2 linked regions of the Macaca fascicularis genome follow. The protein of the gene in region 1 binds, or shares a complex with, the protein of each later gene. Links are inferred from orthologs where the notes say so. Each region holds a gene or a part of one and is shown in the gene's direction. Other genes may lie near its edges.

Evidence for each region.
Region 2: the proteins of NF2 (region 1) and LATS2 are in contact, whole or in part, in a crystal structure (PDB 4ZRI), measured with the Homo sapiens proteins. The link is inferred for Macaca fascicularis from reciprocal best matches to the Homo sapiens genes NF2 and LATS2. Residues at the interface, in NP_000259.1 of Homo sapiens: Pro135, Glu136, Ala137, Val139, Leu140, Tyr144, Asn175, Leu176, Tyr177, Gln178, Met179, Trp184, Arg187, Trp191, Glu206, Lys209, Ile210; in NP_055387.2 of Homo sapiens: Tyr73, Ala76, Leu77, Glu79, Ile80, Arg81, Ser83, Leu84, Leu85, Phe87, Ala88, Asn89.

The regions. Positions count from the first base shown.
Region 1 is NC_088384.1:21,984,279-21,999,560, reverse strand, and holds the end of NF2 (merlin), read left to right. Parts: intron 1-2,394; coding exon 2,395-2,522; intron 2,523-5,617; coding exon 5,618-5,780; intron 5,781-7,513; coding exon of another isoform or gene 7,514-7,515; coding exon 7,516-7,626; 3' UTR 7,627-7,730; downstream 7,731-15,282. UniProt on the Homo sapiens protein: Probable regulator of the Hippo/SWH (Sav/Wts/Hpo) signaling pathway, a signaling pathway that plays a pivotal role in tumor suppression by restricting proliferation and promoting apoptosis.
Region 2 is NC_088391.1:930,399-946,948, forward strand, and holds part of LATS2 (serine/threonine-protein kinase LATS2), read left to right. Parts: intron 1-1,415; coding exon 1,416-1,548; intron 1,549-3,757; coding exon 3,758-5,175; intron 5,176-9,534; coding exon 9,535-10,117; intron 10,118-10,986; coding exon 10,987-11,169; intron 11,170-12,782; coding exon 12,783-12,889; intron 12,890-16,550. UniProt on the Homo sapiens protein: Negative regulator of YAP1 in the Hippo signaling pathway that plays a pivotal role in organ size control and tumor suppression by restricting proliferation and promoting apoptosis.

The DNA.
Region 1 (15,282 bases):
ATACTTACATTCAAGCACATGGTACAGGCACATACATGACCCAGATGCACACAGGGCACCAGAGCCACAAGCTGCCCAGGGTTTGAGGTGGGGAAAACGTAAGCAGTTTGCTGTTGCCATATATCCTGGTTCTCTGTTACTATGTAACAACCCACCCAAGCCAACTGTGTGGCCGAAACAACCCTTTATTATACCTCTGGTGGCTTGTTGGGTTGACTGGGCCAGACAGAGATCCTTGCTGGGGATCTCTCTGGTGGTCACAGTCAGATGGTAGCTGGGACTGGAGTCGTCTGAGCACTCAGCTGGGCTGAACACCTGAGATGTGTGTTTTGTTTTTATTTTTTATTTTGTTTATTATTATTATTATTATTTTTTGAGAGAGAGAGAGTTTTATTTACTCTGTCACCCAGGCTGGAATGCAGTGGCAAAATCTCGGCTCACTGCAACCTCCGCTTGGTAGGCTCAAGCGATCCTCCCGCCCCAGTCTCCTGAGTAGCTGGGACCACAGGCATGTGCCACCATGCCCAGCTAATTTTTTTTTTTTTTTTTGGTAGGGACAGGGTTTTGCCATATTGCCCCAGCTGGTCTCAAACTTCAGAGCTTAAGTGATCTGCCTGCCTCAGCTTCCCAAACTGCTGGGATTATAGGCATGAGCCACTGTGCCCAGCCTCTATGTGTTGTTTTTAAAATATACACTGGAGCAAAGCTTATACACTGCTGTAACTGCTCTCTCCTCTTAGCAGTCAATCCTGGAGGAGATCATCCATATCAGCTTTTTAATCATGTTTTGTTGTGCGGATGGATTGCAGTTCATTTAACCAGTCCCTCACGGATGAGTATTTAGTCTGTTTTCTTTTGCAATTTTGAACAAAATGGCACTGAACATCCCTGAACACAAATCTTGACACACACAAGTGAATATATTGGTAGAATAAATTCTAATAATAGAACCATGGGGTCAAATTTTCAATTTTGATACTCTTCAAAGAAGTTGTACCAGTTCATGCTCTCACTGATGGTGCAGCAACTAGTACTGGTTTTTGCTGGAAATTTTTATGAAGTATAACATACATGTAGAGAAGTGCCCAGATTACAACTGTACAGCTTGAAGAATTTTCACAAACTGAACATACCTATGTACCCAGCACCCAGATCAGAAAACAGGACATCCCTGGCACCCCAGGAGCTGTCTCTCAGCACCCCTGCAGACAGTCTGCCTCAGGCCTTGAGAATGTCTCAAATGAATGTTCCAAGCCTCTGCTCTTTCCCAGACAGTGTCCTAGACTCAGTACGGGATCCAAGGATGAAAAAGAGGCAGATTGTTTACAGGAAACTTGCAAATAGTAGAAAGAAGATACAGCCAAAAAGAAATCTTTTACAGGGTGGAATTGCAGAAGAACCATTAGAGAACTGTAAACACAGCATTAAGGGACAGTAAAGAAAAGGGTTGCCGGCTGGCTGGGAGGGGCTAGAAAGGCTTTGGTGAGAGATCATGGTGTTTGAGAAGGGCCTTGAAAGAGCGATGGAGCATAGGGAGGAGAAATGGGATAGGCAGGGGTACAGAGATGGGAAGGCAGTAGTCCAGGGGATAATAAACAATACTGACTGTGACTTAGTAGGGCAAATAGTAGGAGAAGCCAGGGAGCTAGATTGGGGCCCTCTTTAGATGACCCTTTGTTCTGGGATGAAAGTCAGAAACAAAAACCAAAAAAAACTACACCACCCCTGCTTCAAGACCTACTCCGGTTCCATTGTCCAATCCCAAGCCCCTGGGTGGGCAGGTGGAGCCCTTTGTGGTGGTGCCCATCTCCCACCCCACCTCTCCACACTGTATGGCAGACTCCTGGCACCCTCGCTGGGCAGTGCCCCACCCATTGCCATACCTCCCACCTGGCAAACCTTCTCGTGGCACTGTCTTGGATCCCAGCAAAAGCAGCATCTCTTCTAGCCTCTGTTCGCTCCCTGGCTACAGTGTTTACCTTTTTTAACAGTGATGATCTGTGAACACATCTATTTCCTGAACACAACTTTCAGCTGCTCAAAGCCAAGGATGCTGTCTTGTTTTCTGCATCTCCAGCCCCTCTCACAGGGCCCGGGAGTTTCCTAAATGAAAAAGCGAGTGGGAGTTTGTGTTTGATTCAGCTGAGCGTGAAGAACGGTTAGAGATTTGAGGGGTGAGGGATGACTTTCCTGGATTTGTAGTCTTTGGTATTGTTCACCTGGCAGTGGCAAATGTGGAGGGACTGAAGTGGAGGGGCTCATAGTGGCATTGGGAGATAGGACCTGAGTTGTGCCTATCGCCGCTGTGGCTGCTGGAGGATCAGTTGTCAACACAGTAGTGCCCCTCTGTTCTTGTATGACCCAAGCTCCTAATCCGAAATTTCTCATTAATAGCCCATGAACCCAATTCCAGCACCGTTGCCTCCTGACATACCAAGCTTCAACCTCATTGGTGACAGCCTGTCTTTCGACTTCAAGGATACTGACATGAAGCGACTTTCCATGGAGATAGAGAAAGAAAAGTATGTAGCCCCCTGTGCCCTGCTGTGGGCAGCCATGAACCAGAGTGAGTGATTGGGGCCTTGGGAAGCTGGGGCAGAGGTGAGGGGTTGCTGAAACAGCCTGTCATTAGCTCCTACAAAGGTTTGCTCTGCTCTTACCTGCTGGAGGAAGAATTTCCTTAATTGGAAATTAAGGGACAACAGATCAGCATTCATTCTGAATGAATAAAAATAACACTTGACTAGTGACCTGGAGTTTATGATGGCTCTAAACCTCACTTAAAGTGTAGGACTGGGTTGTTAGCATCTCTGAGTCAGTTCAACTGCTGTTATACTACTGGACTGTAGTCGCCTCCTAGTTGAGTTTTCCAGTGACTGGGATCTACGGTGGTTCCCTTGTCTAGAACAAAGAAAGATTAGAGAAGAGACTCAGGCTCAAGGCTAAGGAAAGCTGACAGCTGGTGGGGCCACTTTGCTGCAGTGGATGGCACTGGGCAGGGCCCCAGCATGGCCTGATCATGGCAGCTTTTGCTGAACTGCCCTCCATCTTCCCTTTATGGTGGGTAGAAGTGGATCAGAGATGGAAAGGAAAGGATCCCCACTGCAGAGGAAGTCTAAGCAAGGGCCCCTAGTTCCCAGAGCTAGTGGTAAGTTGGTTAACTGCCACTGCTTGCCGGAGGACAACCACAGCAGCTACCATGCATTGAGTGCCTGTGTGTCAGGGTTTTTGGCTTTTGTCTCATTTAATTCCTACTAACTGACAAACATCAAACTGACATCAAAGGTAGGTTTTCATGTTCCCATTTTATAAGGGAGAATTCAGATTTAGAGAGTTTAGTGAACTCCCCCAGCATCACACAGCTGATGCAGAGGAGCCCCTGGGTTGAAACCCCTCACCCATCTGACTCTGCAGCCCATGTGCTTTTACCAAGGGTAGTATCCTCAGGAAAAACCTTTGGGGAAAGTGTCTCCATGGAGTCCTGTATGGGCAACCACAATCCAGGCTGTTTTTCTTTGGGCTTTCACATTGAGGGTATAGCTAAGTAGCCAGTGAACCAGAGCCTCTAGCTGTCATATCTGCTGTCCATGTTCCTTTCACCATTATCCAGACATATATATTTATGTGGTTGGGATCGGGGATCAGGGTGAAGCTATTCTGCTATTTTATAGTTTGTATTTTGTTACTATCTTAGTTTGTTTTGGCTACTGTAACAAAATACCAGTGGCTAGGTAGCTTATAAACAACAGAAATTTATTTCTTGGCCAGGCACAGTGGCTCATGCCTATAATTCCAGCACTTTGGGAGTCCAAGGCAGGCAGATCGCTTGAGCCAGGAGTTCACACCAGCCTGGGCAACATGGCGAAGCCCCATTTCTACTAAAAATACAAAAATTAGCTGGGTGTGGTGGCGCATGCCTGTGGTCCCAGCTACTCGGGAGGCTGAGGCAGGAGGATTGCTTGAGCCTGGAAGGCAGAGGTTGCAGTGAGCCCAGATCATACCACTGCACTCCAGCCCAGGCAACAGAGAGACACCCTGTCTCAAAAAAAAAAAAGAAAAGGAAAGAAAGAAATTGATTTCTCACAGTTTGGGAGGCTGGAAAGGCCAAGATCAAGGCACGGGCAGAGGTGGAGTCTGGTGAGGGCATTCTTCCTGGTTCATAGTCAGCCCTTGTCGCTGTGTGCCCACCCAGTGGAAGGGATGAAGGGTCTCTCTGGAGTCTCTTTTATAAGGGCACTAATCCCATTCATGAGGCTCTACCCTCGTGACTTCCCAAAGGCCCCATCTCCTGACGCCTGTGGTTTTTTTTTTTTTTTTGAGACGGAGTCTCGCTCTGTTGCCCAAGCTGGAGTGCAGTGGTGCGATCTCAGCACACTGTAACCTCTGCCTCCTGGGTTCAAGCAATTCTCCTGCCTCAGCCTCCTGAGTAGCTGGGATTACCGGCCCATGCTACCACGCCCAGCTAACTTTTGTATTTTTAGTAGAGACAGGGTTTCACCATATTGGTCAGGCTGGTCTCAAACTTCTGACCTCATGGTCCGCCCACCTTGGCCTCCCAAAGTGCTGGGATTACAGGCATGAGCCACCACGCCCAGCTGGCAATTAGGTTTCCACATATGAATTTTGAAGACACGAACATTCAGACCATAGCACTTCTTACCCTTGCACATATTGGCAGTCTCTATACTAACCATGGCAATCCCTATGGAATGTTTTTGGTATTTGTATTGCACGGTTTTTCTGGCCATGCCTTGTAGTTGGACGCTTTGTGGGTGGTTTCCAGACTTTCACCATCATAGATGCTGTCACTCAGTGTGTCTGTTCTCAGGTGAGGGTAGGGATCTTTTCTTCCTTGCGTTGGGTGAGCTTCTGAGTGAGCTTCTGTCATCTTTAGATGAAGTCTCAGAACAAGTGGGACTGTGGATGTGGCCTATCAAAAGAGATCACGTGAAGCTGGGCGCTGTGGCTTGTGCCTGTAATCCCAGCACTTTGAGGCCAGGGGTTCAAAGCCAGCCTGGGGAGCATAGCAAGATCCTATCAAAAAAAATGAGTTTACTTGAATTACTGCTCCAAGAAGGGTTGAGACAAGGAGATTGTTCTGGGTTCCCAGGAAGCTTGTTTCATGTATTTTTTTTTTTTTTGGTGCAGAACGAAAAGCTGTCTGTGACAGCTAGTATTTGTAGAGCCCCCTATGAGAATTTACCAAGGACTTTTCTACTCTTTCTTTTTCTTTTTCTTCTTCTTTTTTTTTAATAGAGGCAGGATCTCTTTATGTTTCCCAAGCTGGTCTCCAACTCCTGGGCTCAAGCAATCCTCCTGCCTCAGCCACCCAAAGTACTGGGATTACAGGTGGAGCCACCATGCCTAGCCTCCACTTTTTAAAAATTTAATCCTGACCACGGCCCTGTGATCATTATCCCAATTTTAATGATGAGGAAACATTCATAGCACTTAAGTGACCAGCCTAAGCTCCACGGCCTGTGAGTGGCCAAGTAAAGATGTGAACCTCAGGCCTCAAACCCTAGATCCTGCACCAAGCAGCTTGTGGGCCACAGAGCACCTGAGCCGTATCTCACTGTCGCCCAAGCCCTGATGCATGATACCCTCTTGCCGGCAGAGTGGAATACATGGAAAAGAGCAAGCATCTGCAGGAGCAGCTCAATGAACTCAAGACAGAAATCGAGGCCTTGAAACTGAAAGAGAGGGAGACGGCTCTGGATATTCTGCACAATGAGAACTCCGACAGGGGTGGCAGCAGCAAGCACAATACCATTAAAAAGGTACCCAGGGTCTCTTTCTTGTATTTTGCTGATCAGGACCATCATTAATGAAATATGAGGTTGGCATCTGGTTTTCTCAGTAGCCAAGTCACTAGACTGTTAGCATCTTTTGTATGTACTTAGTTGAGGAAATTTTTAAACTTATGCCAGAAAGGGAATGTAATCTGCCAGTGACTAGGAACCCATTGGCTGGATGGCAGTTGAGCTTGTGTTAAAAGCTCTGACATAATGAACCCCTGTTACACAGGGGTTTTGATTCATCATTTAGCAGTAAAGCATAAAGCCCTTTTAAGCCAAGGGGTGTTATGCCCAGGGAGCTGCCTTACTTTATGAGAAAGCAGAATGAAATGGAGGCTATTGAGAATGCACTTTCCCTCTAGTCTTGTTGTGTCTTTAAGTGGCAAGGACTATAAAACCAAACTGAATTTTTAACTTTTTTCATACTTAAAAGGAAGTGTCTAGGAGAGAACCTCTTTGTTTTGAAAGAGAAGACTTTATTATGTTGCAAATGGTTTCATATCTTTCTCTATTGGTATTTTGAGCTTTCAGCATTGTTGAGTTTCAGAAGCTAAATTTCATACTAATTATCAGCCCAAGAGTATACCTTTTTCATTTGGGCCAAGCAGAAGGGTCCTCTCTTGCCAAATAATGCTCTGCTCTTAACTGATAGCCCAGGATCAGGTTAACACCTATAAAATAGGTGTTATTAAGATAAAACTGGGCTGGGCGTGGTGGCTCACGCCTGTAATCCCAGCACTTTGGGAGGCCGAGGCGGGTGGATCACGAGGTCAGGAGATCGAGACCATCCTGGCTAACACAGTGGAACTCCACTTCTACTAAAAATACAAAAAAATTAGCCAGGCGTGGTGGCGGGTGCCTGTAGTCCCAGCTACTCGGGAGGCTGAGGCAGGAGAATGGCGTGAACCTGGGAGGTGGAGCTGGCAGTGAGCCGAGATTGTGTGACTGCACTCCAGTCTGGGAGACACAGCGAGACTGTCTCAAAAACAAACAAACAAACAAAAAGATAAAACTGTCCATTGACTTTAGGTGATACTGATGCAGTTAATTTTTTACTCTTTACCTCAGTCTTTAAAATGGGCTTCCAGTTTTACGGACTGTCTCTGTTTTTAGTGGTTAAGCTGTATCTGAAAACTCCAGGGGATCTGTTTCTACCTGCCATCGTTACTGGATACAGCAGGCAGCCCTGACTTTTACCTCTCGACTCCAGTCAGAACTGGCACTGGGTAGAGAATTCCTTTTAATAGTGCAACCTAGAAGGAAAGGCATTTCCACATTCCACATTCTTCTTTTCTCTGGCTTCTGTAATTTACCAGGCTTCCCTTCCAAAACAAAATTATTAAATAGTAAAGAGAAGTTCAAGGGAGGCCTCAGCCATTAAGGAAAGAGGTAAAACAATGACTGAGCCAGTGAGCCAGTCAGCCCTTAAATGAACTGCCTTAGACACCCCATCTCACCCCTTACCCCCAGCCTTGTCATCTGGGTCCCCGGAACAGTCTCACCATTTCCACTGCGGCTGCAATGAGCAGGGGGGCCTTCAGCCACAGAAACCTGCAGTGTGAAAGCTGGAGAGACCCCGTTCCAAGCCATTAAAACAAACAAGATCACTCGTCACGATTTCAGGCCTATCCAAGCATTTTGCAGATAGCACTTATGGCATTGTTGATATCACAGGGTATGTTTTTGTTTTTCTTCATTTTATTTTGCTGGTTTAGCCTCAAGCCCAAGGCAGAAGACCTATCTGCATTTGAGCCCTCAAAGTAGGTTGTTCCCAGGTATTCTCTCTGTGGTGATGGCACTGCCCTCTGTGATACTAACCCGTGCATGAGCTTGCCTGTCTCTGTCCTCAGGCCACACTGAGCCCTTACGAGGGCAGGTGGTGCCTGGGTACTGGCCGCAGCATGCTTTGAGTCTAAAAGCAGGCACCCGCCCTGTGGAGCCAGACCAGCCTCCAGGGCCCCAGAAGACTGCCTCGTTCCGAAGAGCATGTCATGGGGCTGTAGGACCGGCCGTTCTTCCCATCTCGTGTCATTGTTGGGCTGGGGAAGGTTATGGCTTCTTGTCCAGTCAGGTGTGTCTATAAGTCCTTTGTCTTGGTGGCATACTCCTAGCATGGAAATGGGGTCAATCTGGGCACTTTTGAGACTGATGTCTGTAACTCGAGATCAAGACCTTTTACGCGGTGACAGCCTCTCAAGACCCGTGGTCACTCCTGGCAGCTTCTGGTCGTGGGGCGAAGGGGTTGCCTGTGCTGGCTCATTTTCCTTTAGAGCTTTCCCTTTCTGTACACAGCCCTTTTCCTTTCAAATAAAGCAAACCCAGAGCACAGGGGTCTGATTTGTGAGTCCACGGGGAGTGGACTGCCTGTTCGTCCGTGCTCAGCCGCCTCTGCTTCAGCTTCCACTCCACAGGCTGAGCAGAGATGTGGTCAGAGTGAACTCACATTGGAACAGTACAGTCATGGCACCCCGGAGAGGAGCGGTCACTGGTTGCTGAATGAATTAACTGAATGTTTGCTGCTTTTCTCCTGCAACAGTTCGTTATTATTCCAGCATGCCTAGGCAGTAGAGAGAATGTATTTTGCCCAACAATAAAATGACATCCTGCCTCTACTTCTCACCTAATCCCCAGTAGTACCCATGCCAACAAGCTCCACACCACCCGACAGCAGCGTAGGATGTGTCCATTGGAGTCTTCCCCGCAGTTTCTGCTCATAGAGTAGAATAAGCTAATTGGAACCTTCCTACCAAAAAGAGGTCTGGCATAAGATAGATCCTACTTGTGGTCGTTATCCCATCAAGAGAGGTCAGCTGTTAAAGTCCCTGATAGATCTTATTAAAAGGTACACTTGAGCCATCAGTGGTTCCAAGAATCCATGACATGAACCCTGTTTTGTATGTGACACTTTCATTTAGCGGGCTCCTGTTTCTTCAGCTTTCATACCCATGTTGGCATTGATACCCTGATACAGAACAGTCCGTGCTCTGAGCAGGGCAGTTATGGCCAGCGTTGTCATGGGCAGGCCAGCTCACAGCACCCAGAGCAGCCAGGTGGACCCACCTTGGTTTACTGAACTTTTTGTAACCACGAGGACAAGCAGAAAACCCCGCTGCATTTCACCCAGTGCTGCCAGGTGTTCCCTCCATGGGAAGGTGCTGCTCAGCCCGAATGTGATTTCTTCTTTCTTCCTTCTATAATGATGCAGAGTGCTGAAATTCTTCAGGGTCCTGATTCTGACTGTCATTTCACACTGAGCTTTTACTGCAGACAAAAGAAGTTTCATTTTTAGTTAAATTTGCACTGCTCCTAGGACATACATGGATGCATTTATTTATTCATTCATTTTAATGTCTTGATGTGAACTTGTTTTTAAAGCAGGCTGCCAGGCAGTTAATCAAACACTCGGGTTAATCAAGGGTTAATAAAAGCATGGACTTGATGTTTAATATGACAGGCGTTCTCTCAGCATCACTAGATTAAATAGTGCTGCACTACTAAATTTTGCTGCACATGAAGTTCAGTGCACGTTCCATTTTCTAGACTTTGGCAGTCCCTGTGGTCAGTGACCGGGACTGATGAGCAGCCACATGCCTGCACTAGGGTGGCTCTGGGGTGGTGCATGCTGCAGTCTGGCTGGCACAAGCCTAGCTGAAGAGAAGTGCTGCTTTAGGCTTGGATGTGGGAATACCTAGATGTCAAGGGCAGAACTCCATCTAGAATGCCTGGGGATGAGATGCAAAAGCTGGTAGTGAATGGAACAGTTTCCAGTGTCCAAAAGCTCACTAATCTGGGATCAAACCAGCCTGCATTGATATTAGTTTTATTTTGTTTTGAGACACGATCTCCCTCTGTCACCCAGGCTGGTACGTTCTTGGCTCACTGCAACCTCCACCTCCCAGGCTCAAGTGATCCTCCTGCCTCAGCCTCCCAAGTAGCTGAGACTACTAATTTTTGTATTTTTTGTAGAGATGGGGTTTCACCATGTTGCCCAGGCCGGTCTTGAACTCCTGAGCTCAACTGATCTGCCCAACTCTGCCTCCCAGAGTGCTGGGATTATAAAAGTGAGCCACCGTGCCTGGCCTCTTTTGTTTTTTTTTTTTGTTTTTTTTTTTGTTTTTTTTTTTTTTGAGACGGAGTCTCGCTCTGTCCCCAGGCTGGAGTGCAGTGGCCGGATCTCAGCTCACTGCAAGCTCTGCCTCCCGGGTTTACGCCATTCTCCTGCCTCAGCCTCCCGAGTAGCTGGGACTACAGGCGCCCGCCACGTCGCCCGGCTAGCTTTTTGTATTTTTTAGTAGAGACGGGGTTTCACCCTGTTAGCCAGGATGGTCTCGATCTCCTGACCTAGTGATCCGCCCGTCTCGTCCTCCCAAAGTGCTGGGATTACAGGCTTGAGCCACCGCGCCCGGCCCTCTTTTGTTTTTAATGAGGTTTTTTGTTTGTTTTGTTTTGTTGAGACAGGATCTCACTCTGTCACCCACATTGGTGACAGCCTCAACCTCCTGGGCTCAAGCGATCCTCTCACCTCAGCCTCCCAAGTAGCTGGGACTACAGGCATTTGCCACTACGCTTGACTGATTTTTTAATTTTTATTTTTGTAAAGATGGGTTTCGCCATGTTGTCCAGGCTGGTCTCGAACTCCTAAGCTCAAGTGGATCTTCCCGCCACAGCCTCCCAAAATGCTGGGATTACACACATGAGCCATCTCGCCCGGCCATTGTGTTTGTCCTCGGTTTCAGTACTCTTCTGCCTCACTGAGAGGTCTCAGAGTCTGCTGTGTGATTTCAGCAGTACCCATGGGGGCTGTGTAACATTGAAGCTAATTCAAGGAGTTTGCCCTTAGGTTATGAAGGGTTACCACATTTCCTCAGGAATGCTGAGCGGCTATCCAGTCGGATTAACCGAGGTTCCTACTTCTCTGCCACTTCCTTTTTCTATAATTCTTTTTTTTTTTTTTTTTTTTTTTTTGAGACGGAGTCTCGCTCTGTCGCCTAGGCTGGAGTGCAGTGGCACAATCTCGGCTCACTGCAAGCTCCGCCTCCCGGGTTCATGCCATTCTCCTGCCTCAGCCTCCCGAGTAGCTGGGACTACAGGCGCCCGCCCCTGCGCCCGGCTAATTTTTTCTATTTTTAGTAGAGACGGAGTTTCACAAGATCTCCTGACCTTGTGATCTGCCTGCCTCGGCCTCCCAAAGTGCTGGGATTACAGGTGTGAGCCACCGCGCCCGGCCTTCTATAATTCTTATGCTCGCTCGCGCGCTCTCTCTCTCTTTTTTTTTTTTTTTTTTTTTTTTTTTTGAGACGGAGTCTCGCTCTGTCGCCCAGCCCAGGCTGGAGTGCAGTGGCGCGATCTCGGCTCACTGCAAGCTCCGCCTCCCGGGTTCACGCCATTCTCCTGCCTCAGCCTCCCGAGTAGCTGGGACTACAGGCGCCCACAACCGCGCCCGGCTAATTTTTTTTGTATTTTTTAGTAGAGACGAGGTTTCACTGTGGTCTCGATCTCCTGACCTTGTGATCCGCCCGCCTCGGCCTCCCAAAGTGCTGGGATTACAGGCGTGAGCCACCGCGCCCGGCCCCTCTCTCTTTTTTTTTAATTCTACTTTAAGTTCTAGGGTACATGTGCACAACGTGCAGGCTTGTTACATATGTATACATGCAGCCATAAAAAAGGATGAATTCTTACTCTCTCAAGGCACAGTGTCCTCACCTTCAAAAGGTGAATAAAAATAGTCTTTGCCCCCAGGACTGTTGTGAGGGATAAATGAGAGAATGTGCATGAAACACTCAGTGCACAGTCAGAGCTCAGTAAGGGGTTAAAACTCTGAAAAGGGAAAATCTGCTTGTGATCCTGCAGCAAAGGGCGAAGGACAGCATGTGGGCCACACCGCCAAATCTAGGTACACAGCTTGTGCTGGGCATCTTCATTCATTGTATTAATTGCTACGTGGCTGGAAGTAAAAACTTTTAAAAAGCCATAATTGGCCAGGCACAGTGGCTTACACCTATAATCCCAGCACTTTGGGAGGCCGAGGCAGGTGAATCACCTGAGGTTGGGAGTTCGAGACCATCCTGACCAACATGGAGAAACCCCATCTCTACCCAAAATACAAAATTTGCCGGGTGTGGTGGCGCATGCCTGTAAACCCAGCTACTTGGGAGGCGGAGGCAGGAGAATCGCTTGAACCTGGGAGGTGGAGGTTGCGGTGAGCCAAGATCATGCCATTGCACTCCAGCCTGGGCAACAAGAGCAAGACTCTGTCTCAAAAATAAATAAATAAATAAATAGCCATAATTAACTTCACTGGTTCCTTGTAATATTTGACTTGGGTTTGCAAGGATATATTTTTCTCCTCTTGCTAATCTTAACTTCCTATATTTCCATTTTTCCCAATTGATGATCAGTACAACTAGTTTGGCATTTGCATCTGAGTCAGAGCAGTGCTAGCGATCAGAAGCCACCCTAGGGAACCTGGAGTTGTTTCATTCTCAGTGGGAGCGACACGTGTCCTGGCATCTGAGCCTTCCAAGTGAGGGGGATGAGTCTGGCAGTCAGGCTGGGGTTGGGGGACACAGGGTGCCTTGAGCCTGACTTTTGTGCCTTCAGAGCCACAGTGCTGATGATGGGAGTGGTGGCTTGGTGTGGCATAACTGTACCACCACACCTTGAAGGTAAAATGCAGTCTTGGAATATATACATTCAGGGTCTTTCTTTCATCCTTTCTCAAAAGAGGGGTTTCAGTCTCCCAATCCTGAGCTGGTCTGAGTGTCAGCAAACAAAGTCATCACTTTTGTGCCTGTGGTCTCCCAGGGAGCACAGGATTTCCAAGGAAATTGATGGATGAGAAATCATGGGGGTGGTGGAGCTTAGAAAGCTTATTTCATTAGTAAATGGTTTGAACCGTCAAGGTCCAGCTGTGGTTTCCACTGATGGAGGAACAGGAAGAAGAGGAGCCTTGACATTTATCTCAAGCGCCAGCAGCTTCTCTTGGATCAGGAAGACATAAAAGTCCAATGTCATCTTCAATTTGTGCGGGCTCCCCTTGGAGTTGCAGAGCCGGTGAAGTGAAGTAGAACAGTTAAAAAAACACCCGGGGAAGTGATAAATCACAGAGAGAGATTGCATATGCGGGAAAGGCGTCTCCCACAATTAAAACAAGTGGCTAGAGCCTCCCTGGCGACCTCTGGTCTGCACTGCCAGCCCTGAAGATGGCTGCTAAATTACTTAAGTTTAATAGGTAGTTAATATAGCCAACCCTCCTTATGACCCCATTGGGCCGAATGGCTCTGCTTGCTCTAGGAACTGGGTGTTGTATGGGTAGAGCATCCTTGGCCTTGACATAAAAGGTAGCATACTGGCTCGCCAGCCCCGAACCTTTCCTTTCTTGTTGCTGGAGCAAGGCAGGGGTGAGAGGGGGAAGGAAAGAAAAAGGAGTGGGGAGTGGGGTGGGTAGCAAGCATTAACAGGGAGCAGTAGCAGCACCAGATGTGGGCGTAGCACACTGCGAAGAAATTGCAGAGGCCATCCGAATTCTTCCTCTCCACTTCCTGGCTCTGTGGAAGCCCAGGGAAGGCTTTAGGAACTGTGGGCTGTTCTTAGTGCTCCTCCCGGCTGGGACACCTTGAGCTCATCCCTGAAGGCCACTCCTACCACTCTCACACACTGAGTTCCTGGTTTCTCGTAACTGTTGAGAGCTTAGTTTTCTTGCTTGTTTCTCTAGATAGAAGAACTATCAGCCTCTTTTCCAAAAGTCTACAAGCCAATCCTCTTTTTGGTTAAGAGACTTTACCTGGTCAAGCAGTTATTCTTTGGGAGGTGTTGAAGAGCCTACAAACCTGCTTTGCCTGCCTAGGTATTTTACGACCATTTGGAAGTGCCTGAGGATATTACCAGGCCTTATTTGATGCAGTAAAACATCCCGTTTGGCCCCTGGGCACTGAAGATATGTTTCAGTGCAGCTCTCCTCCGCACCGGATTTGTTGCTGCAACAGTGGGAGGGAAGAGCCGGATGCAAACTCATTCTTCGAGCCCGAGGTTCTGTTCTCATGATCCTTGCCGTGATTTCTCTTTTGATGTTGGCAATTTAAAAATGACATCAGTCTATCTGGACCTTTTTCCTAAGGCTCTTGCTCAGATCACTCAGTAGATAGCCGCCACCTGCCCAGTAAGGTGAATCAGGCCCATTAGGCCATTTGTCAGGGGAAGGAACGGAGGAGCAGCGGAGGGCCCCCCCGGCGCCACAGGGCAGCCTGCAAAGCAGGCAGACAGGTTTCCAGGCAGCTTCTGCTGCTTTGGGTCCCTCAGGGATTAATACACAAAAAAGGCCCCTTGGGTATTCAGTGGCAGATTTCTCTTGAGAGCAGATAAAGTCGCTAATACCACATTGGATTTGTTCATTGGGGTGGACTTGGCCTTTCATTCCAGCTCTGTGTAGGTTAAGTGTATGGATAGTGCTCCCACTGTGCACATCACTAGATGGCATTTGGGTGCAAACTGTCCCTAGCAAGACTGCAGAAAGGCTTGATCTGGGATGTGGTGGCTCATGCCTGTAATCCCAGCACTTTGGGAGGCCGAGGCGGGCGGATCACGAGGTCAAGAGATCAAGACCATCCTGGCCAACATGGTGAAACCCCGTTTCTACTAAAAATACAAAAATTAGCTGGGCGTGGTGGCACGCGCCTGTAGTCCCAGCTACTCAGGAGGCTGAGACAGGAGAATTGCTTGAACCTGGGAGGCAGAGGTTGCAGTGAGCCGAGATCGCACCACTGCAGTACAGCCTGGCAACAGAGTGAGACTCCGTCTCAAAAAAAAGAAAAAGAAAAAGAAAATCTTGATCTGACCACTTAGTACAGCCATCCCCCTTCACTGGCCCTTCCTCTTGGCTCATTTGGAAGGGGGAAGGTTTCCCACACCCCAAACCAAAGATTCTTTTGGAATTTGCTGCTACTGGATTCAGCTGTCACCTTTCTGCTCTGACTCTGCTTTCTCCCCATGGATCCGCGTGCCAGAGGATCTGCACGTCCTTTTGTGTCTACACCCTCCCCCGCTCCTTCGTTTTCAATATGTAGTAGTGGAGAGGAAGTATAACATGATTTTAGGGCTCACATTTCAATTGCACTGCATTTTTATGGGACAAGCAGAGACCCAGCACCTGGAGTTATTAGGTTAGTATCTAAAATGGGTTCAGCGCTGTGAGTCTTATTGTTTAAAATGAATGAGATGGTCCCCTCCTGCCTTCTTTTCTCCTCCCTTGGGATGAGTGGATTGAGGCAAGGCCCCCAGAGACGAGCTGAAGGAATCCTGGTGCTCTGATTAGTTTTGTTCCCCAGCTTAATTGTACAGCTTCCTTTCTCTCACCACTGATAGCCGAAGTGGCTCTGTGTCTCCCCCCACCTTCCCTTGCTTTAGGAACAAGATGATCACAATGCAGCCTTGTGAATCAATTTTCTCTCTGTGCTGATGAAAGTGTAATTCATTCTTAATCAAGCAG
Region 2 (16,550 bases), on another chromosome or scaffold:
TTCACCATGTTGGCCAGGATGGTCTCCATCTCTTGACCTCCTGATCCACCCGCCTTGGTCTCCCAAAGTGCTGGAATTACAGGTGTGAGCCACCACACCCAGCCATCTCCACCCCTTTCTTCTCTGCTGTCTAGGTAGCTATGGACTCCTTTCCGGAGCTCCCGGTTCTGCATTTTCAGTTTCCTCCTGCCTGGCCACCCTCCCCGTCGACCTTCAAAGGGCTCAGCCCTCCCTTCTCCTGCCAAAGCCCTTTTTGTGGCCTTTGCCTGTTTCACCCTTGTCCCAGAGCCAGTCTCAATGGTGTTCTTTTCTCTCTGCTTACCCTCCCTGTTTGCCTACAGCTCTGCGGAGCTGTCCTTGAAGGTGAAGGGGGCGCTGTCATCAGAGCCTCACTGCCCTGCCCCACTGGGCTGCATCTCTTCTGCACCCTCCTGCCTATTCTGTCTCCCCCAACCTGAGTGCCTCCAGCTCTGCACCCACAGCCGCCCCCAGCCTGACCTGCTGATGCCACATGTCCCAGTTTGAAAGCTTCCTCGGCTGCCTGCAGACAGGAGCAAAACCCTGAGAGCCTGGCCCCCATCTGTGGGTCCATCCCCCCGTCTCCACCTACCCTTGCGTGCTGCTGCCATGGGCCCATCTTTCCCCAGGCTTCTGCTCTGGCTGTCCCATCTGCCAGGAATGCCTTTTCTCTCCCAGGGCTCTCCACCTGCCCAAAGTCTGGAACAGCTAGCCATGCCACCACCTCATCTTCTGAGTGGAAGGAGGCTTTCTCCTCTGGCCCTCTCCCATTTTACCTGCCCTCTCCTGTGGTGGCCACCAGTCTCTGTGTTCTTCCCACAAGCAGTTTGAGGGACTTGTCCTGGGCCAGTGTGTCTGTCTTTTCTTCTACAAGCCATACCTCTGAGGGCCAGTCTTCTGCTGCTCTAGCCACCACAGGGCATTGTAAACAGTAGGCATGTAATATATGACTCCTGCGCAGCTGCACCCTCTCCCTGGGGACAGGTTTCCTAGTCCCAGAGTTAGCTTGGATGTGAGCCGAGGTTAAAGCCAGGTTCCCTGAATCCCACAGTTCTTCCCCTTAAACGTTTCTAGTTTTAGGTTCATCCTGACCTCACCAGTCCAACCACAAAAGTTTTCTGAGGAGAAGCAGAATTTAAGTCTCTTTCAGGCCCATCAAAATCCCCATGTCCTTGACGTAAGGCTAAGTAGTCCATGGTGTGGCTTGTGCTAGGCTTTTGTCATCAGGCACCTGCAGGGCACACAGCCACCCACACTCATTCTGAGGGTTTCCTGCAGCGCGTTGCAGGTTCTCAGCAGCTACAGAGGCAAAGTGTCCCAGCACAGTGGGGACGGGAGTCCCTGGGGGCTTTGTTTTAGGATGACGTGCACTTACCTCTCCCTTACTTCCCTCCCAGGAGATGGCTGGCCGAGCTCTCAAGCAGACGGGCAGCAGGAGCATCGAGGCTGCCCTGGAGTACATCAGCAAGATGGGCTACCTGGACCCGAGGAATGAGCAGATCGTGCGGGTCATTAAGCAGACCTCCCCAGGTGAGCCCAGGCCCGCAGCGTGGTGGACAAAGATGGTTTGTGGCTTAAGGACACAAAACCATGTGCAGAGGGGTCCAGCCTGGCCTGGCCAGAGCCTGCCCTGGTGGGAGCAGCCCCAAGTAGTAAACCATGGGACATGCCTGGCGCTTGCCCCGTCCAGCCTTGTCTGAGATTACCTTGGTACTTCCTACCTAGGGAAAGGTGTGTGCTTGTTTTATGAAAGATCAAAAAAGTCAGCAAAGTGGGCATAAAAATAGTCTTTTCACTTTCTCTTGGGCCTGTGGAGGGATCTTTGACAAGGATGGCTTCTTTCCTCAATTCTAAAACACAGCTTTCTCACACTGTAGCCTCCGAGAGTGGCTGCTCAGTGGCAGGCAGTGTGGGCAGAGCGCTGGGCCCCCCTCAGCATCCCCTGTGAAGGCCTGAGGCACCGCACCAAACCCCTGCTTTTTACTGGCTATGGGGGAATGTTAATTTCCCAAGATGGAGCACATGGGCCCCGTGATGGTACCTGAGGCCCCTGGGGTGTGATAAAGGATTCATGGCCAGGTGCAGTGGCTCAAGCCTGTAATCCCAACACTGTCTGGTCTGGTTTTGTTTTTTGTTTTGTTTTGTTTTGTGTAATCCCAACTCTTTGAGAGGCTGAGGCCAGAGGCAGGAGGCAGGAGTTGGAGACCAGCCTGGGCAACAGAGGGAGACCTCGTCTCTATTTAAAAAAAAAAAAAAATTAAAAAAAAACAATCATAGTAATTATCAAGAGTTTTCCCGATTTTGTAGAAGACCTTGGATAAAACCTACTTCATGTCGTGGGTGAGAAAATCTCACCTTTGTAACTTGTATCTCCCTTGTTAAGAGGACACACATTTTTATCTTCTTCTTAAGAGAAGGAACTTCCTTAAATAGTCCCCAGCTGGCCTTCCATGTCAGGGCTCTTCCAGTTTTGAGGTCTTAGAGCACAGCTCAAAGGGAGGCCTGGCCCATGTTCCATGCTGATTTCCCTCTGCACTTGCCTTTGGCGGGTCTGTTCATTGATGTGTTCTGAGCCCAGGGAAAGTGAAGCCTTGGTTTGCCTGTGACTTGCTCAGTGCCAGGCTGTCAGGGCCTTCACTGCCACGTATCAGAGGTGGTCTTCCTGTGGGCAAGGCACACCCTTCGGCACCCTCTGCTAAGTCCAGCCAAGTGGAGCAGTTGGTCTAAAGAAATGAAAGGAGCCTTTGTCCTTCCTTCCGGTGTCTGTTCCAGATGAGATGTTCAAAATGGAGGTCAGGATTAAGGTAGCAGCAGATGAAATCAGTCTGGATATTTGTAGAGGAGTTTTGTGTGGTTTTTGTTGTGCATATGTTGCTTTGTTTTGATACAGACCAAAAAAACTAGAAAATCTTTTAATTTGGAAAAGAGGTGAAAGAAAGTGGAGCAGCTGCTGCACAGTGGAAACAGGTCCGCCCTTTCTGTGAGGGAGCCGCGCCTGGGGAACCGTGCGGGGTAAACCCAGCTTCCCACAATTTGGCATGATAGGGTTTTGAAAACAAAGCTGGCGGCCGGGTGCGGTGGCTCAACCCTGTAATCCCAGCACTTTGGGAGGCCGAGGCGGGTGGATCACGAGGTCAGGAGATCGAGACCATCCTGGCTAACATGGTGAAACCCCGTCTCTACTAAAAATACAAAAAAAAACTAGCCGGGCGTGGTGGCGGGCGCCTGTAGTCCCAGCTACTCGGGAGGCTGAGGCAGGAGAATGGCGTAAACCCGGGAGGCGGAGCTTGCAGTGAGCTGAGATCCGGCCACTGCACTCCAGCCTGGGTGACACAGCGAGAATCCGTCTCAAAAAAAAAAAAAAAAAAAAAAAAGAAAACAAAGCTGGCTATGCAGATGGCTCCCTAGCCTGACAGGAGAGTGACCCCAGTGCTGTCCCCAGGGGCCAAGGATGCAACTCAGCATGCGGACGCGGTCTTCTCTTCTGCCCTTGGCCCTCCCATGTGCCCTTTGGCCTCCAGCTTGTCTCCACTCTCTTAACACATTAGGGCGACTGGTCCTGCTGGCAGGGCAGAGGGGAGTCCGCTGACCCTGTGCTGGGCAGAATGCAGCACCTCAGGGCCCAGGGTTCAAGACCCTCAGCCCCAGGGGCAGCGCTCGAGTGGGGACCAGCCTGGAAGTGCCGGAACCCACTGCTCACACCCACTCTGATGCTGTCTTCCTGTGTTTTCCACGGCAGGAAAGGGGCTCATGCCAGCCCCTGTGACGCGGAGGCCCAGCTTCGAAGGAACCAGCGATTCGTTCGCGTCCTACCACCAGCTGAGCGGTGCCCCCTACGAGGGCCCGAGCTTCGGCGCCGACGGCCCCGCTGCGCTGGAGGAGGTGCCGCGGCCGTACGTGGACTACCTCTTCCCCGGAGTCGGCCCCCACGGGCCCGGCCACCAGCACCAACACCAGCACCCACCCAAGGGCTACGGCGCCGGCGTGGAGGCAGCAGGCGCACACTTCCCGCTGCAGGGCACGCACTACGGCCGGCCGCACCTGCTGGTGCACGGGGAGCCCCTGGGCTACGGGGTGCAGCGCAGCCCCTCCTTCCAGGGCAAGACGCCGCCGGAGACCGGGGGCTACGCCAGCCTGCCCACCAAGGGCCAGGGGGGCCCACCAGGCGCCGGCCTCGCTTTCCCGCCCCCCACCGCCGGGCTCTACGTGCCGCACCCACACCACAAGCAGGCCGGCCCCACGGCCCACCAGCTGCATGTGCTGGGCTCCCGCAGCCAGGTGTTCGCCGGCGACAGCCCCCCGCAGAGCCTGCTCACTCCCTCGCGGAACAGCCTCAACGTGGACCTGTATGACCTGGGCAGCACCTCCGTCCAGCAGTGGCCGGCTGCCACCCTGGCCCGCCGGGACTCCCTGCAGAAGCCGGGCCTGGAGGCGCCGCCGCGCGCGCACGTGGCCTTCCGGCCTGACTGCCCGGTGCCCAGCAGGACCAACTCCTTCAACAGCCACCAGCCGCGGCCGGGCGCACCCGGCAAGGCCGAGCCCTCCCTGCCCGCCCCCAACACCGTGACGGCTGTCACGGCCGCGCACATCCTGCACCCGGTGAAGAGCGTGCGAGTGCTGAGGCCGGAGCCGCAGACGGCTGTGGGGCCCTCGCACCCCGCCTGGGTGCCCGCGCCTGCCCCAGCCCCCGCCCCGGCCACGGAGGGCCTGGACGCCAAGGAGGAGCACGCCCTGGCACTGGGCGGCGCAGGCGCCTACCCGCTGGACGTGGAGTACGGAGGCCCAGACCGGAGGTGCCCGCCTCCGCCCTACCCGAAGCACCTGCTGCTGCGCAGCAAGTCCGAGCAGTACGACCTGGACAGCCTGTGCGCGGGCGTGGAGCAGAGCCTCCGTGCGGGCCCCAGCGAGCCCGAGGGCGGTGAGAAGAGCCGCAAAAGCGCCAAGGGGGACAAAGGCGGGAAGGATAAAAAGCAGATCCAGACTTCTCCCGTCCCCGTCCGCAAAAACAGCAGAGACGAGGAGAAGAGAGAGTCACGCATCAAGAGCTACTCGCCATACGCCTTTAAGTTCTTCATGGAGCAGCACGTGGAGAACGTCATCAAAACCTACCAGCAGAAGGTTAACCGGAGGCTGCAGCTGGAGCAAGAAATGGCCAAAGTAATTTCCCACTTCGTTTTTCCTGTTTGTTCCCGGCTCTTCCCTACACTGGTAATAGGAAGCGCGCACGATCCCTTTTCTGTTGCGGCCGCACACCCCTTGTCATCAACACGGCTAACGGGCGGCAGTCTGGTTCTGGGGCCAACAACTTGGAGAGGTTGCAAATGGTGTGACCTCCCTTTCTCCTTTCCCCTTGACTCTTCTGAAGAATCAGAGGTAGCTGTGCATAATGTAGCCAGCGTAATGTAGGTAATCTACAATTTACATTGTAGGTAAATTAGCAAATTGAGTTTTAGGGTATGTACTCACTTAACAAAATTCATCACGGATTAATAATAGAACATTTTGAATGAGTAGAAACAAAGTTTAAGGTTTTGTAAATTGATATTGTGAGATTTTGGAAGAAAAATATAGTAGTGATTCCATTTATTCTTTTTAAGTGTTTAATTAGTAACTAATGATTTAAGTATACCTTAGTTGACACTAAAGTGCTGAAGAAGGTAATTATTGGTGAAATTATTTAAATTAAAATGTAACAGATTTAAATCACACAAAGCCAGTAATTCCAAAGCGTAGAAACCAGATTTGTGTTCTTTCCAGTGTCCCATATTCATTGACTTTTTAAATATTTACCTTTCATTTATATGTGCTTATTTATTTATTTTTATTTATTTTTGAGACTGAGCCTTGCTCTATCGCCCAGGCTGGAGTGCAGTGGTGCAATCTTGGCTCACTGCAACCTCCTCCTCCTGGGTTCAAGCGATTCTCCTGCCTCAGCCTCCCAAGTAGTTGGGATTGCAGGTGCCCACCACCACATCCAGCTATTTTTTTGTGTTTTTAGTAGAGATGGGGTTTCACCATGTTGGTTAGGCTGGTCTCAAACTCTTGACCTCAGGTGATCTGCCCACCTCAGCCTCCCAAAGTGCTGGGATTACAGGCATGAGCCACCACACCCAGCCGTTCATTTTTTATTTATACGTAGTATTTGTGTATTTGTGGGGTACATGTGATATTTTGTTACATGCATAGGATATGTAATGATCAAGTCAAGGTATGCCTGGTGTACTTATCATTTCTGTGTTGGAAACATTTCAAGTCCTGTCTTCTAGCTATTTTGAAATACAGAATACATTTTTACTAACTGTAGTCACCCTAGAGTTTGTTCCTTCTGTCCAGCTATATGTTTCCATCAATTAACCTCTCATCTCCCCTCAACACACACACACCCTTTCCCACCTCTGCTAACTATCATTCTACTCTCTGCCTCTATGAGATTAATTCTTTTAGCTCCCACATATCAGTAACAACGTGTGTACTGAACTTTCTGTTCCTGGTTTATTTCACTTAACATGATGACCTCCAGTTCCATTCATGTTGCTCCAGATGACAGGATTTCATTCTTTTTTTATGGCTGAATAGTATCCCATGGTGTACACAGACCACATTTTCTTTATCCATTCATCAGTTGATGGACACTTAAGTTGATTCCATATTTTGCTATTGTGCAGAGTGCTGCAGTAAACATGGGGTGCAGGTATCCCTTTGATATACTGATTTCCTTTACTTTAGATAAATACCCAGTAGTGGAATTGGTACATTGTATGGTAGTTCTGTTTTTAGTTTCTTTTTTTTTCTTTTTGTTAATAGTTGTTCTAACTGGGAAGAGATTATATTTCATTGTGGTTTTGATTTGCATTTCCCTGATGGTTAATGGAGAACCCTTCCATGCACCTCTTAGCCATTTGTGTGTCTTCCTTTAACAAGTGTCTATTCAGGTCATTAGCTCACTTTTTTTTTTTTTTCTAATTAGTTTATTTATTTATTTTTTTTGAGACAGAGTTTCACTTTTGTTGCCCAGGCTGGAGTGCAATGGCGCGATCTCGAAACCTCTGCCTCCCAGGTTCCAGTGATTCTCCTGCCTCAGCCTCCCAAGCAGCTGGGATTACTAGCATTAGCCACCATGTCCAGCTAATTTTGTATTCTTAGTGGAGACAGGGTTTCACCATGTAGGTCAGGCTGGTCTCGAACTCCCGACCTCAGATGATCCACCCGCCTTGGCCTCCCAAAGTGCTGGGATTACAGGCGTGAGCCACATCGCCCGACCTTTTTATTTATTTATTTACTTAGACGGAGTCTCGCTCTGTCACCCAGGCTGGAGTGCAGTGATGAAATCTCGGCTCACTGCAACCTCTGCCTTCTGGGTTCAAGCTGTTCTCCTGCCTCAACCTCCTGAGAGCTGGGACTACAGGGGTGCGACCCCATGCTCAGCTAATTTTTGTATGTTCAGTAGAAACGGGGTTTCACCGTGTTCATCAGGCTGGTTTCAAACTCCTGACCTCAAGTAATCCGCCCGCCTCAGCCTCCCAAAGTGCTGGGATTACAAGCATGAGCCACCGCGCCCGGCCTTTTGACTCACTTTTTAATAGGATTATTTGATTTTTTTTTTTTTTTGGCTGTTGAGTTGTTTGAGTTCCTTGTATATTCTGAATAATAGTCTTTTGTCAGATGAATAGTTTGTGAATATTTTCTCCTGTTCAACACAGGTATCCTCTTTACTCTGTTGTTTCCTTTGCTATGCAGAAGCTTTTTAGCTTAATATAGTCCCATTTGTCTATTTTGAGGTTTTTTGCCTGTGCTTTTGAGATTTTATCCATAAAAATCTTTGCTCAAACCAGTGTCCTGGCGTATATTTTCGTAGCCTCTGGTCTTGTTTCTAGGTCTTCCATCTGTTTTAAGTTGACTTTCCTATATGGTGAGAGATTGGGGTCTAGTTTCATTTTTCTGCATATGGATGTCTGGTTTTCCCAGCATGTCTTTTCTTCCGTGTACATTCTTGGCACCTTTGTCAAAAATCAGGTGGCTGTAAATACATGGACTTACTTCTGGGTTCTCTATTCTGTTCCGTTGGTCTATGTGTCTGTTTGTATACCAGTACCATGCAGTTTCAGTTACTCTAGGCTTGTAATATATTTTGAAGTCGGGTAACAACTTTGTTCTTTTTGCCCAGGATCGTTTTGACTATTTGGGCTCCCTATGAATTTTAGTGTTGTTTTTTTATTAATGTGAAAAATGTCATTGGTATTTTGATAGGGATTGCATTTAATTGGTAGATTGCTTTGGGTAGTATAGTCATTTTAACAATATTAAATCTTTCTGTCGGTGAACATGGGATCTTTTTTCATTTGTCTGTGTCCTCAGTTTCTTTCATCAGGGTTTCGTAGTTTTCTTTGTAGAGCTCTTTCACTTTTGGTTAAATTTGCTTCTAGATTTTTTTTATAGCTGTTGTAAATGGTATTCGTTACTGGTGTACAGAAATCCAGATATCCACGTGCAGAAGAATGAAACTAGACCCTGTCTCTCACCATATACAAGTCTGTCTAATGTGTGCTACTGATTTTTGTATGCTGATCATTGACTTTTCTTCCTGCTTTTCCATTTTCCCTAAGTTGCTGAAAGATTAGATGGCTCTTGGAGTTCTAGGACTGCTGTGGTCCCCTTTCCCACAGATTTTTGTTAATAGAAGTTTCCCTTAGTTTTTAGAGCAAAAGTCTCCTTGAGAAAGAACACTCTTTTTTGTCTTAACTTTTTTTTTTTTTTTTTTTTTAAAGACAGTCTCGCTCTGTCGCCCAGGCTGGAGTGCAGTGGCCCGATCTCAGCTCACTGCAACCTCCGCCTCCCGGGTCTACGCCATTCTCCTGCCTCAGCCTCCCGAGTAGCTGGGACTACAGGCGCCCGCCACCTCACCCGGCTAGTTTTTTGTATTTTTTAGTAGGGACGGGTTTTCACCGTGTTAGCCAAGGTGATCTCGATCTCCTGACCTCATGATCCGCCCGTCTCGGCCTCCCAAAGTGCTGGGATTACAGACTTGAGCCACCACACCTGGCCTGTCTTAATTTTTCATTCCAAATTCATGTCTATATATTGATATAAAAAAACAAAACTGGCCAGGCACGGTGGCTCACACTTGTAATCCCTGCACTGTGGGAGGCCGAGGTGGACAGATCACCTGAGGTCAGGAGTTCAAGACCAGCCTGGCCAGCATGATGAAACCCTGTCTCTACTAAAAATACAAAAATTAGCCAGGCGTGATGGTGGGCGCGTGTAGTCCCAGCTACTCGGGAGGCCGAGGCTGCAGTGAGCTGAGATTGTGCCACTGCACTCCAGCCTAGTGACAGAGCAAGACTGTCTCAAAAACAAAACAAAACCAGTTGTCACCTTGCTTTGTAGTATATGAGACCCGTTCTTCTCTGTTCTCCTTTCTGTAAAACGAGTTAGGTTCCAGGGCTTCCCCATCCCAGTCATATGTTATCATGGGACTTCTCTAATGTGATTCTTCCTCCTTCCTTTCCGTCTGCACAGGCTGGACTCTGTGAAGCTGAGCAGGAACAGATGCGGAAGATCCTCTACCAGAAAGAGTCTAATTACAACAGGCTTAAGAGGGCCAAGATGGACAAGTCTATGTTTGTCAAAATCAAAACCCTGGGGATCGGTGCCTTTGGAGAAGTGTGCCTTGCTTGTAAGGTGGACACTCATGCCTTGTACGCCATGAAGACCCTAAGGAAAAAGGATGTCCTGAACCGGAATCAGGTGGCCCACGTCAAGGCCGAGAGGGACATCCTGGCCGAGGCAGACAATGAGTGGGTGGTCAAACTCTACTACTCCTTCCAAGACAAAGACAGCCTGTACTTTGTGATGGACTACATCCCTGGTGGGGACATGATGAGCCTGCTGATTCGGATGGAGGTCTTTCCCGAGTACCTGGCCCGGTTCTACATCGCAGAGCTGACTTTGGCCATTGAGAGCGTCCACAAGATGGGCTTCATCCACCGAGACATCAAGCCTGATAACATTTTGATAGATCTGGATGGTCACATTAAACTCACAGATTTCGGCCTCTGCACTGGGTTCAGGTGGACTCACAATTCCAAATATTACCAGAAAGGTATTGTCTTGAGTGTGCCGCATGCATTTTCTCTGTGTAGACATCACTCACCCCGTGGCAAGCAGCTCAGTATCCCATCCTAGTGGCTCCTAATCATTTCGAAATTATCCGTCACTCCATTCTTTTATAAATCGGTGTGACAGCCTTCCCTTCCAAAAGGAATAGAATGATATATGAATTTTTTTTTTTAAAGTTAGTGGATTTCAGGTTTACTTTTTTTTTTTTTTTTGAGACAGAGTTCTGCTCTTGTTGCCCAGGCTGGAGCGCAATGGCATGATCTCGGCTCACCACAACCTCTACCCCCCGGGTTCAAGTGGTTCTCCTGTCTCCAGCCTCCTGAGTAGCTGGGATTACAGTCACGCACTGTAATACAAAACCACCTCTGGATAATTTTGTATTTTCAGTAGAGACGGGGTTTCTCCATTTTTGTCAGGCTGGTCTCAAACTCCCGACCTCAGGTGATCCACCTGCCTCAGCCTCCCAAAGTGCTGGGATTACAGGTGCAGTGAGCCACCGCACCTGGCCTACTATATTTTTAAGACAATAGGCTACAAGCTGTCCCCACCGTTCTTCCAGCCTCTCCTGCCTGCAGTGCCTTCCTGCCAGCTCAGCACGGTGCGTGGTTTCCCATGATTCCTCACCGTCGTTTCCACCTTGGTGCTAGCGCCAACCTCACCACGTGTCTCCGAACTAGGGACAGCAGGCTGCCCGTATGGAGCAGCTCAGCGGGGATTCTCTATCCTGATATGGCAGGAGCTGATTGGAATGACTTTGCTGTTTTAAGCTGTGGATCCGTTGAGTTGTTGAAGAGTGAAAATTCACTTTGTGTTTTGTTCTCTTCTTTCACCACCCCCGATTCCTGGGTGAAGGGAGCCATGTCAGGCAGGACAGCATGGAGCCCAGCGACCTCTGGGACGACGTGTCTAACTGTCGGTGTGGGGACAGGCTGAAGACCCTGGAGCAGAGGGCGCGGAAGCAGCACCAGAGGTGCCTGGCACATTCACTGGTGGGGACTCCAAACTACATCGCGCCCGAGGTTCTCCTTCGCAAAGGTACGTGCGCCACAGCCAGCCACCCCACGGGAGGTCTCCGTCTCTTCAGACCTGTGAGCTGAGTCTCCTTGGCTCTAGCTTTCCAAGGACCTGATGCTTCCAGTCATATTTTTGTCCTCATGGAAGCCTGAAAACTACTTATTTCCGCAACATAACAGGCCTCCCTTCTGCCTTGGAAATGCTCTTGCTTCAGGGGGTTGGAAGACATGCACCATTAGACAGTGTCTGCTGGCCCTCAGTCTCTACCTAGACCCAAGGAAATGACTCCAGGCCTCATTTTCACAGTCAAATGATGGAAACCACTCTGAGGGCCACGGGACCTCTGCTCAGTGTGCCTAGACCACACATTTCCGGGCTCTAGCTTTCACTTCTGTCCCAGGCTCCTGGCTGAGTTGTGCTGTGCGCAGCTGGTGCTTATGTGACAGCATTGGAAGGTCCTTTCTCTCTCATTCTCCCTGCTAGACCATAGCAAAAGTGGCAGGTGCCAGTTGTGTCAAATGACCAGTGCTCATAAAATTTGTCTCCTGGGTGGATGCTCCATTCTGTCAGATACATCTGGCTCAGTAGACGAGGATTCCTTCAGTGATCCTGCATGGTCCACAGTGACGGTGGGTGTTCATCTGATTCTGTGTAATTAATCCAGAGACAGGCAGCTCCTGCCGCCACACGTTGTTTAAAGTCTTTGGAGCCAGCCAGACCCAGTTCAAGTCTGGGTTTTCTTTGCTAGCTGTGGTAATCCAGCGCAAGTTACTTAACTGCTCGGACCACAGACATAGCAATAATGACCTTGAGAGGTTGTGAATAACCTTGGTGCCCAGTGAAGGTCTGCTTCCCTCTGCCGCGTGCAGTATTCCCAAGGAGCCATTGCTTGGGGTTTTTCTGCAGCGTCTGGTGCCAAACTTGGGCAGAAAGAGGTGGGACAGGGAGATAACAGAGGGGCCTGAGGGGGCTACCCTGGCATATGCAGCTGCAGGCACCCCCGGGCTGACCTCTTAACATCCCAGTTTATACTTAGCAAGGATTAGGTGACATCAAGACGAGCCTGGCTTGATGGGCCATGAGGCCCTGAAGGAAAAGTGGGAGAAAATGAAAGGTAAAGGAGCCCAGCCTACAGCCTCCCAGAGGCCAGCCCTGACCCAGCACGGGGAGCCCGTGAGGAAGGCCCAGCTCCGTGGGGGCCTCACACAAGGAGCGTTCGGCTTACCGTGAATTGTCTGGTGGGTTTTGCCCACGCCCTCCTCATCTCCATAGGCTTCAGCTTCATCCAAAACTGATGTAGAAGCCTCCCAGCAAGCTGCCCAGACCCTCCCCTGACTGTTCACGGGTTATAGTACTTTATGGTTTTCAGTTTCCGTTATTTTAATTGGTGCCTCTGTCTGTGATCTTTAAGAACATAAAATTCTGGCTAGTAACTAGTTGCTAACACTAAAAATAATCTTTTTAAATTAAAAAGTATTTTCTTATTACAATGATTAAAATTACGAAAACCTAAGCGGCCACGGCTGCCACCCCCACCCATTAGCATCCAGGTACTTACAAAGGTCCATCTGCCGAAACTCGCCTCGGAGGAGAATTCGTGCCTGCGTAGGGACTGAGTGAACTTTGTCTTGCAGGGTACACTCAGCTCTGTGACTGGTGGAGTGTTGGAGTGATTCTCTTCGAGATGCTGGTGGGACAGCCGCCCTTTTTGGCACCAACTCCCACAGAAACCCAGCTGAAGGTAATATGAGAGGAACCACGCATCTGCTTGCTGCAGACATCTGATTTTCTCATGTACCCGTGAACCTTTGGTCAGCATTCGCCCTCTTATTCTGAGTAGGGTAGGAATGGCAGTTGTATATGATGGGATTTTTAAAAGTAATCTCATTACTTTTTAAATTATTATCTATTTTTAAATTTTCTATTTTGTTAAGCAAAGCCGTGGAATTGGGCCCATTTTAATATCTGAAATTCTGTTAAATCCTTGGCCATCTGCCACCTTATATTTCCAGGCAAGAACAGTGAGGGTCAGCAAAGGTGTGCTGCAGACCCACCGTCTCCCTGCCCCACGCCTGCCCTGCAGAGAACACACGGAACTCCAGGAACTATGGTTGACCCCTCAGCAGTGGAGGGTTGGGGTGCCAGCCCCCTGCACAGTCAAAAATCAGCATAGAACCTTCGACTCCCCAAAAACTTTACTAATAGTTTGTTGACTGGAAGCCTTACCAGTAACATAGAGTCAATGAACACACATTTTGTATGTTATATGTATTAGATCCTGTATTCTTACAATACAGCAAGCTAGAGAAAAGAAAATGCTGGCCGGGCACAGTGGCTCGTGCCTGTAATCCCACTACTTTGGGAGGAACATAGGCTGGGCACAGTGGCTCATGCCTATAATCCCACCACTTTGGAAGACCAAGGTGGGCAGATTACCTGAGGTCAGGAGTTCAAGACCAGCCTGGGCAACATGGCAAAACTGACCTCTACTAAAAATAATAAAAATTAGTCCAGCATGGTGGTGTGCACCTGTCATCCCAGCTACTCCGGAGGCTGAGGCAGGAGAATCGCTTGAACCTGGGAGGCGGAGGTTGCAGTGAGCCGAGATCACACCACTGTAGTCCATCCTGGGTGACAGAGTGAGACTCTTTCTAAAGAAAAAAAATCGTAAAGAAGAGAAAATAGGTTTACTATTTTAATAATTGAAAGTGGATCATCATAAAGGTCTCCATCTTTGTCATCTTCATGTGGAATGGGCTGAGGAAGGGGAGGCATTGGCCTTGCTGTCTCAGGGGTGGCAGAGGTGGAAGAAAATGCTAGTGTGAGTGACCCTCAAACTGTTGTTCAAGGGTCAACTGTACATCTAAAGAAATCCGTTTCTTTATTTGGATATGATATCATTGTTTGCAAACTGTCAGCTGTGTGGTCAGGCTAGTTGTGCATATTCGTAATATTCAAAGTAGTTAAATCTGTCATTCACTTGATACTAAATTATTAGTGTTAAAATGACAGCCATTTGCTTTCTGAATTGAGTTACTAAGGATTGAATTGAGAATTAGAATTGAGAATCTGCAGTCTTCAGTGGATATACCAACTGACACACAGTCCTAGGAGTTTTCACATGTCCTAGTGGCCATGATCACCAAGGAGCCTAAATTAATAACCTTAATTAGAAAAAACCATCTAGTAAGGCCAGGCACGGTGGCTCACGCCTGTAATCCCAGCACTTTGGGAGGCAGAGGCAGGCAGATCATGAGGTCAGGAGATCGAGACCATCCTGGCCAACATAGTGAAACCCCGTCTCTACTGAAAATACAAAAAATTAGCCTGGCATGGTGGCGGGCACCTGTAATCCCAGCTACTTGGGAGGCTGAGGCAGGAGAATCACTTGAACCCTGGGGGCAGAGGTTGCAGTGAGCCAAGATCACGCCACTGCACTCCAACCCAGGCGACAGAGCGAGACTCTGTCTCAAAAAAAAAAGAAAAGAAAAGTAGAAAAACCCTAAAGTAAGGCCTAGTTTCACTCTAGGAACAGTAAAATTGGAATCTGTCATTATCCACGCCCTGACTGAATTGCTGAGCTACTCACTAAATTGTCCACATGATAATTCAGATTTTTTTATTCTGGTAAAATATACATAACATAAAATTTACCATTTTAATTATTTTTTAGTGTATAATTCAGTGACATTAAGTACCTTCACAATATTGTGCAACCATCACCACCCTCTATTTTCAAATGTTTTAATCATCCAAAAACCCATTAAACAGAAACTCCCCACTCTCCCTTCCAGCGCCTGCTCGCCTGTCTTCTGCTTCTCTGTGAGTTTGGCTCTGCTCAGGACTGACTGATTTTTTTTTTTTTTGAGACGGAGTCTCGCTCTGTCGCCCGGGCTGGAGTGCAGTGGCCGGATCTCAGCTCACTGCAAGCTCCGCCTCCCGGGTTTACACCATTCTCCTGCCTCAGCCTCCCGAATAGCTGGGACTACAGGCGCCCGCCACCTCGCCCGGCTAGTTTTTTGTATTTTTTTTTTAGTAGAGACGGGGTTTCACCGTGTTAGCCAGGATGGTCTCGATCTCCTGACCTCGTGATCCGCCCGCCTCGGCCTCCCAGAGTGCTGGGATTACAGGCTTGAGCCACCACGCCCGGCCGATTTATTTTTTTTTTTTGAAACAGAGTTTTGCTCTGTATCCCAGGCTGCAGTGCAGTGGCACGATCTTGGCTCATTGCAACGTCTGCCTTCCGGGTTCTCACGCCTCAGCCTCTCAAGCAGCTGGGATTACAGGTGCCTGCCACAACACCAGCTAAGTTTTGTATTTTTGGTAGAGATGGGTTTCATCATGTTGGTCAGGCTGGTTTCAAACTCCAGACCTCAAGTTATCCACCCACCTCAGCCTCCCAAAGTGTTGGGATTACAGGTGCGAGCCACATGCCTGGCCTCGGGACTTCTTGCAAGTGGAATCATGCAGTATTTGTCTTTTTGTGTCTAGTTTATTTCACTTAGTGTAATGTCCTCAGGGTTCATCCATGTTGCAGCTTCCTTTTTAAGGTGGAATAATATTCCACTGTATGAGTCCCTGCTTCTGGTTCTTTTGGATATAAACCAGAAAGTGGGATTGCTGGATTATATGGTCATTCCGTGTTTAACTTTTTGAGGAACTCCCAAACCGTTTGCCATAGTGGCTGCACCATTTTACATTCCCACCAGCAGTGGCTGAGTGTTCCAGTTTCCCTACATCCTCAGTAAGTATTTTCCTGTTTTTGTTTTTTTTAAGTAGTAGCCACTCTAGGGGATGTAAGGTGGTATCTCATTGTGGTTTTGAGTTGGATCTCCCTAGTGATTAATTATATTGAATTCATTTTCATGTCCTTATTGGTCATTTGTATATCTTTGGAAATATCTCTTCAAGTCCATTACTCTTTATAAATCAAGTTATTTGGTTCTGTTATTGTTGTTGAGTTGTAGGAGTTCTGTATATTCTCTGGATACTAACCCCTTTTCAAATATGTGCTTTGAAATCTGTTCTCCCATTTTGTTGCCTTTTCACTATCAGTAATGTCCTTTGATGCACAAAAGTTTTAAATTTTTATGAAGTCCAATTTATTTTTTCTTTTATTCCCTGTGCTTTTGGTGGCATGTCTAAGAAATCACTGCCAAACTCAACATCACGAAGATTTCATGCTATGTTTTCTTCTAGGAGCTCTACAGTTTTAGCTCTATGAAAACACTACTTAGGTTCAAACCAAGCCTCCCACCCATACACCCACTAACTTCCATGCTTTATCCACTGTCCTGTCACCCCAGCTGGTAGCCAGTCATGCTGGCCTTGTTTCCTCCTGACGCTAAGTGTAAACAATAAAGAAGTGCCCTAGGTTTCGTCTTCACAGTAGACACATCTCT